2 linked regions of the Ovis aries genome follow. The protein of the gene in region 1 purifies or fractionates together with the protein of each later gene. This does not show direct contact. Links are inferred from orthologs where the notes say so. Each region holds a gene or a part of one and is shown on either strand. Other genes may lie near its edges. The genes, in order: PTPRR and MAPK14.

Region 1 (3,816 bases):
ATGGTAACTTTGAAGTTGTGACACTGTTACTGCCATGGAAATTTATGTTCTGTCATAGCTGTTATGATCTAACATATTAGGATGAGAAAAGGCTGTGTGTTTCTAGCATCTCTCCAGGAGGAAGAAGGTAACATATATTCTCTTATTACAAGAAGTCATATTTCTTTTCCCTGAAATGAAATTTTCATTTTGTCTAGAACCCTTTCTTTTTCTCCAATTGTAATTGTATATAATGTCTGGCATGTAAGAGGCCTTCCAATACATTTTGTTGTTGTTGTTGGTACTGTATTTTAGAATTACTGTTCTATGGTGAATAGTCAGAAATACTTGCATGTGCTCTGAGATCAGTTCAGCTTTTCACAGGCAAGCAGAGAACTGAGGTAAATTATTCAAATTTTGATCCAATGAACTGGATGATTGGAGTTTTAACCAGTTACTTCAACTCACTTCTTCATTTTAGTTAGGGAGTCTAAATTTTCTGTTTCAAAGGCACAGTTTTACCTTCTTGGAATGTTGCCATCTTGAGTGATTTTAAACCTCGAGTTCCCATTTCACATCCATTTGCCATTTCAATCTGAGAAACTTAGACTTTAATACTGTTTCCACAGTTACAAGCTTCAAGTTAATCATGGCCCTGGGAATTGAGCTCTCTAGTGTGTACACAACCCCCTTGGCTTGCAGTTCTCAGCATAGACTGTTGGCTCCAAATCATGCCCATGGGAATCAAGGGCTGTGCCTGCTTGCTCACCCTGCCTGACAAACACTGCTGGTGAGCCAGAAGTCGGTGGCTCCTCATCAGTGTTTGCAGTAACAGAGGAACCCATCTCTGGGCTTTCCAGAGGAAGGGGAGTGAACAGTCTCCAATACAAGGTCCAATATCTATTGGCAGCTTCCACAGCTTTGCAGAGCTGAAAGTAAGCTGTTAGATAAAAGGAAGTCTCTGTTTCTCAGAGCTACCAGATGGATTTAGTTTTTCTAATCTTTTGGATTTTCCATAAAGCATGTTTTCATAAAACATGAAGTGTGCTTAAAAGTATTAGGTTTTTCTCATTACTGCATTTCCATATCCTACTCATCCTTCAGTTTTACTTTCTGCATCAAAGTGTGTGTATTCAGTCACTCTCGTGTCCAACTCTTTGTGATCCCCTGGACTGTAGCCTGCCAGGCTTCTCTGTCCATAGGATTCTCCAGGCAAGAATACTGTAGTGGGTTGCCATTTCCTCCTCCAGGGGATCTTTCTCACCCAGGGATCAAACCCACATCTCTTGTGTCTCCTGCATTGGCAGGCGGATTCTTTACTACTGTGCCACCTAGGAAACCACTGCATCAAAGTGTATTTTTGTATAAAGGAAACATTTTTAAAACCATAGAAAAGCACAGAGAATAACATAACAAACAACTGTGAATCATTAAATGGCTTTTGTTTGATTTTGTGTGTCTGTTACTGATGGCATTAATGTAGCTTTCCTACATACTCCCAGCAAAATTCTCCTTTTCCCCTCCCCAGAAGCAAACTGTACCTTATAGTTGGGGTTTTGGATAGAGTTTTTCAATAGTTCTTCCCTTTTCTGGATTTCTGGTTTTTGCCAGGAGTCTTCCAGCTACCTAACATGACCAAGCCCTATGGCCCCTGTCCCTACGCAAGTGTTAAAAGACTCGAAGGTGCAAAAGCAGTATAAACTTCAGCTGGGTGTACATTTTGATTGGAAACCAGTATACTTCTTCTGACCTCCCCCACTCCCTTTGATTTCTGTGTATGTGTGTGTGTGCGTGCTCAGTTGTGTCTGACTATTTGCAACCCCGTAGACTATATATAACCTGATGCGAAGAGCTGACTCATTTGAAAAGACCCTGATGCTGGGAGGGATTGAGGGCAGAAAGAGACGGGGAAGACAGAGGATGAGATGGCTGGATGGCATCACCAACTCAATGGACCTGGGTTTGGGTGAACTCCGGGAGTTGATGATGGACAGGGAGGCCTGGCGTGCTGCAGTTCATGGGGTCGCAAAGAGTCGGACACGACTGAGCAACTGAACTGAACTGAACTGAGACTATAACCCACCAGGCTCCTCTGTCCATGGAATTCTCTAGGCAAAAATACTAGAATGGGTTGCCATTTCCACTTCCAAGGATCTTACTGACCCAGAGATCAAATCCACGTTTTCTGCATCTCCTGCACTGGGCAGGCACATTCTTTACCGCTGCGCCACCTGTAGCAATGAGTATTTGGTCCAGTTTCCAATCACTTATTTTGTACCAACTTTACGTATAGAGAAGTTACTATTTCCTAACAAAGCTATAAACTATTGAAGCAGTATTAATTCTTCTTCCACAGCAAACTGGGAGAAGGTCCTCTAAGAGTTCTTACACTCCAGTAGATTACACTTAAAGCCAATCGCTTAATCACAAAAGTGTGTACATAGACCTGCACCTCATTTTATAGAACAGATGGTATTGCAGTCATCTAACAGTTACTGTTAATCTTCTATGGTCAAATTAGGGAATTAAGCGTTATAAAATAAGAAATGCCTATGAGCTTTGTTTCCCCACCTTGCAAAGCATCCATTTCAAGTGATTATGATGCATTTTTGAAAATACATAGTTAACTGATTTTGAATGTAATAACAGCACCCATGGCTTAAATTAAGGATGTAGTATTAATTGCACACCTTGGTTTATATTTTAGGAATTCTTAAATACTTAGTTGTCTTTTTCCAAAGCTATTTGAAAATTAAGAGTGTGTGCCCAAGCAATTGAATAAGAATTATTTACCTTAGACTGAATTATCAGTTCCATTGATTTCTTTACCAGAGTTTGAGAACGCATCATTGCAGCTCATTCTTTTGCCTTGCACTGGCAGCAAATTGCTCTATAGAGAAACTGCCAAGTCTGGTGTTATGGAACTTACACAGAATCTTCCTCTCTGTGACTGTGTGTGAACACAAATTAAAGATGTCCTCTGGCTTGGATTACTGAAATGTACTTGGCTGCACGTTCCATTTTATCATCTGGACTTAAAGCAAAATAAATCAGTACACGTTTCAGTGAAATTCTTTATGAATTGATCATTCATATGAATTCTTGATTATAACTAGACAAATCACATTATTATACAATGTACCATCTTCTTAACTAACACCATTTAAAATTTCATGTAAAACGTCCCTATAATTTTATCTCCATTAAAAATAAAATAAAGCACCATGGCTGTGAATTTCTCAGAGTCACAGGAATTTCTGTGGTCAGTCATCCATCAGGAACTGAATGTTGAAAATCAAATATTTACTATAATTTGAATTTTTTTATTTTCCAGACACTGCAAATGGATGTAAACAGGCTGAACATAACCTTGCTTCGGATATTTCGCCAAGGAGTGGCTGCAGCTTTAGGACTCTTACCCCAGCAAGTGCACATCAATCGCCTCATTGTAAGATACCTACATTTCGCATTTCCGGAGTATAAGCTTTGATCTTTATTGCAGGGCTCAAGAATAATGAACAATAATAAAGAACACCCATGCTGTCATTTTATGGCTCATGAGCCAAATCTGGCATAACACCTGTTTTTGTCAAAGACGTTTTATTGTAACAAACCGTAGCCATTTGTTTACATATTGTCTAAGGCTTCTCTCATGCTACAATGGCAGAGTTGAGTAGTTGTAACAGATCGTCTGTCTAAATTGAAAGTTAAAATATCTGTTATCTGGTCCATTACAGAAAATGTTTGTCAACTTTCTCATAGTTCAAGACTAGCTACCCTGGTAGGTAAAAATAGAAAGGCCCTGAATACCTGTCTCACCAATCTGACACTCCTCCC
Region 2 (3,916 bases), on another chromosome or scaffold:
CATGATTACAATTCTTAAAACCCTCTTTGCTGGAAGCTCTTCAAGGTAGGAATCAGTTTCAAACCTTCAGGGTAAAGGTTTTAAAATGTTTCTCCAAGGGAGATACCAAGAACTTTTCTGAACCTGGCGCATTTTGTAAAAATGCACAGTCTTGGAGTCCCTCTGGGACCCATCTAATCAAACTCGCTGTTCATTTTTAAGCGCCCAAGGTGCTTCTTCTGCACGTAAAAGTTTGAGAACTACTAGAAGTGTCTGGGTGGAAAAACCTCAACCTTAATTCAGGGCTAATATTTACCTTTGAGACAGATTTCGTCAGCATTCCGAAGAGTAAGTGTATGTCCTTGAGCAGATGGGACTACAACGGCTTTCTGGCCGGAATCTTTCTCTTTTTTATGCAAGTACTTCTTGGAAATTGGGGGTTTTCCGCCGAGCAGGTGCTCAGCTGCTGGTGATTACCCACCGTTTAAAGGTCTTTTGGCTCTTTTCCCAGACACCCGATTGATTTGTCACTGTCTCTTTCCAACAGGGAGCCAAGCACTTGCCCCGCCGACCACGATGGGGCGCGCGCGGCCTGTATCGTCTGCTTCTCCGCTCCTTCCCGGGTCCGCCTTCGCGCGCTAAAGGAGAGCAATCCCTGGGAGTTCCTGCCTCTAGGGGCCAGCTGTTGCTCTCTTCTCGCGAGAATTACTTCTCCCAAGCTCTCCCTTCATCAACCCCCCTCCCGCGGGCAGGTTCCATATTGGGTAAAATCTCGGCTCGAGGAGAGGTCCGGGAGCTGTTCTCGCGAGAGCACGGCGGGAGGCTCCTGTTCGCTGGCTCTGGGAAAGGCGACCACTGGAAGCTCCGCGGGCGCTGCAGCTGGAGCTGTGACCCCGCCGCGCAGCCGGGAGTCGGCCGGGTGTGGAGAGAGCGCAGGGAGAGCTGGGCGGGGCGCCAGCCCAGGGCCCCGGAGCGTGCCCCGGCCCTTCGCAGTGCTTCCCCCGCCGTCGGTGAGGCGCGTCCAGCCGCTGCGGCTGACAGGGGCCGCGCGCGCGCGCGGGCTTCTTCAGGGTCGCCGCAGCCGCACCTGCGCGGGCGGCCAGCGCAGGGGTCCCCGCCCGGCCGGGCGGGCTACGAGGTCAGGGGAAGCGGGTGCGGGTGCAGGCGGGGCCCTGCAAGGGCCACCTCCTCGCCCCGCGGCCACCGCTGGAAGATGTCTCAGGAGAGGCCCACGTTCTACCGGCAGGAGCTGAACAAGACCATCTGGGAGGTGCCCGAGCGTTACCAGAACCTGTCCCCGGTGGGCTCCGGCGCCTATGGCTCTGTGTGGTGAGTGTCACCGGGCCGGGGGCCTCGCTGGGCCGGGTGTCTCCGTATGCCCTGGAGTCAGGCCTGCCCCCACGGCTCAGCAATGCACCCAGCGGCAGGAATTTTCCTTGGGGGGAGGGCATCCCAGCCCTCTTCGACCCCTGTCCTGCACTCCCTGTCCCCCTTGCACCCCCACCCTGCACGCCCACGTAGATGGTCAGCTGTGTGTAGGACGCAGGTCCGCTGTGGGCGGTGGGTGATGGTGTTGGAGCCGGGCCCTGACTCGCACCCTGCGCGTTCCCTTGGGGGTGGGGGTGGGGGTGGGGGGGCGGTGCTGCTACGGGGGCAGGAACAGGGGTCCCTCTTCGGAGGTCTCTCCCTGCTGGCATCGAGCAGAAGGACTCTCTCGAGATGTGCCTGCCCTCGGAGCAGACAAGCCCGGGAAGCTGCCCGGAGAAGCAGAAGGGCAAAGCTCGACTGCGGTCATCTGAACAAAACTGAGGACGAAGGGCGTTGAGTTCGGGCTTTTTTGCAAACCTCTGTCGAAATTGCATTTTGAGAAGGGTTCTTTTTGAATTCGCACTTGAATTAGCAGCTATCCAGGGAGCTTAAAATACCGACTTTATCTCGGTGAGCCCTGTGCCAGCTTGAGTGGTGTGTTTCCGATTCAGTTGAAAGCGTATTTCCTTTTCGCAGAGTGGGGGGTGGTGGTAGTGCCTGCAGCTTGAGAAGCTGGCGGCCTCGCTGATTAGTCACATACCACTGCTCATTTAAGTATTGTTTGACAAAACGATTTTCTCCTTTGGAGCAAGTGAGGTTCAGATCCGTTGGACGCCCTCAAGATCAAAAAGTTTTTAACAATGCTGCGATGTATTATAAATATTTTTTAATCGTGATAATTCTTGTGAAACACTGTGTTTTTAAAGTCCTTTAGAGGGTTTGCAGAGAACTTAATCTGCACTTAAGGCCTGAGAGGTACATAATGGTTTTCATGGGATATGGAATATATAGCAAAAGAAGGAAGAGACACTTTTCAGCTTTAATTCACACTATGAATGTCTTTTAAATGAAACGCTACTGTAAAATTTCCAGACTCAGTTCACTAACTTTTCTAACTTCTAAGGTTTTATACACTGTATTTTAGATTTTGTGTAATTTGAGAGCTGACCTGAAGCTAATTCATGTAATTCCTGTGCATGCATTATTTGCAAAGAGGTCTACAAAATTAGTTTTTTGTTTCGGGGCAGGTTCCAGGCTTTTAGACTTGGTAATCTTTGAATATAATTCCTGTGTTTCTTAAAGCCCCAGCATGAATTTCCTGTTTGGTAGAATCTTCTGGGTAATTGAGATTGTGCAATTGTGTCCAGCAACAGATCATATTGCGTTTTCTAGTTCAGGCTGCTTGAGTGATGTCGCTGATGGCCCTATGCTTGACATCTTTTTTCCATTTTTATAGCGTGCTGTTGATTCGCTAATTTTCGAAGATGTGTTTGGATCATTGCTGCTTTAATAGCTCACTTGTTTACGGCCAGTTTTCATTCTGGAATTGACACATTAATTTTTGTGGTACTGAATTTTTGTTTCCTATCATTGTTGTTTAAACTTTAGTGGAGTGATACGGCTCAACTGTGGGGAGTTAGTGAACTGCTTGCAAGGTTTCCCTACAGTTGATGTGAGTAACTCAGCCCTGGCACTGGAGATCCAGTGAAGTGCTGATAAAACATGAACTCCACATTTTTTAGTGCTTTATTTTTCTGGTTTATAGAAGCCATCAAAACTGACACTTGGAAGTAATTTTGTTAAACAGGTTTTTAAAAGTAGGTAGTACATTCACATTGTATAAAATGTAAAAGGCATAGAAAGACAGTGAAAAGTTTCCATTCTCTTTGTCCAGCTGGACTAGTTCTTTTCTCAAGAGACCACCCCTGTTAAGTTTCTTGTGTGTCTTTCTGTGGAGGCAGTTCTGCTAAGGTTGTTTAAGGTGTAACCTATAACATATTGGTGGAGAAAAATAACCAATATTATGTGACAGTTGACCGTAAACAAGTATAGTTGATTTTGGATTGAAAATATCAGAATTTACATTCACATGTGTTATCTCATTCAGAGTAGTTATTTCAAGTTGTTCTTTCAGTCAGCAGCTTTTAGGTGTGGCAGAAAAAAAAAATGTTTTTTAAACTTCTCTTAGAATCCACTTTGGAGCCTGTGTTATTTTTCACTCTCTTCATTTTTTTTTTAGAGCAGATTTGATTTTAGGAAATAACGAAGTTAGATTGAATCCAAATCATTTAGAGAATTTGGGCTCAAGTCTGGTGAAAAAGATCAGGCAGCCAGGCTGGTGATACTGTTTGAGGTCAAATAGGAGTTGTAACCGTAAAGTAATGACACAGAATTTCCTGTGGGACTTGTAGAACTGGATTGAAGTCTGTTCCAAAAAAGAATCTCTGAAAGTATTTCAAGGAATGCAACATCACTGAAATAATGTGTCAGTTTCCTAATTTGATTGCTCTGAAGTGTGATACACTTTGATGTGTTAACTTTAAAAATTAAATAATAAGCCAATTTTCAGTGTTTTCATTTGTACTAAGTATCTAGTAACGCAAGTATGATAACTAATCGTGAATGAAAG

What was found.
Region 2: the proteins of PTPRR (region 1) and MAPK14 purify together in Homo sapiens (affinity purification with mass spectrometry; 4 studies listed by BioGRID and IntAct, counting the BioPlex papers as one, with this or other methods). This does not show direct contact. The link is inferred for Ovis aries from reciprocal best matches to the Homo sapiens genes PTPRR and MAPK14.

The regions. Positions count from the first base shown.
Region 1 is NC_056056.1:149,058,693-149,062,508, forward strand, and holds part of PTPRR (receptor-type tyrosine-protein phosphatase R), read left to right. Parts: intron 1-3,313; coding exon 3,314-3,427; intron 3,428-3,816. UniProt on the Homo sapiens protein: Sequesters mitogen-activated protein kinases (MAPKs) such as MAPK1, MAPK3 and MAPK14 in the cytoplasm in an inactive form.
Region 2 is NC_056073.1:10,093,625-10,097,540, forward strand, and holds the start of MAPK14 (mitogen-activated protein kinase 14), read left to right. Parts: upstream 1-1,190; 5' UTR 1,191-1,192; coding exon 1,193-1,308; intron 1,309-3,916. UniProt on the Homo sapiens protein: Serine/threonine kinase which acts as an essential component of the MAP kinase signal transduction pathway.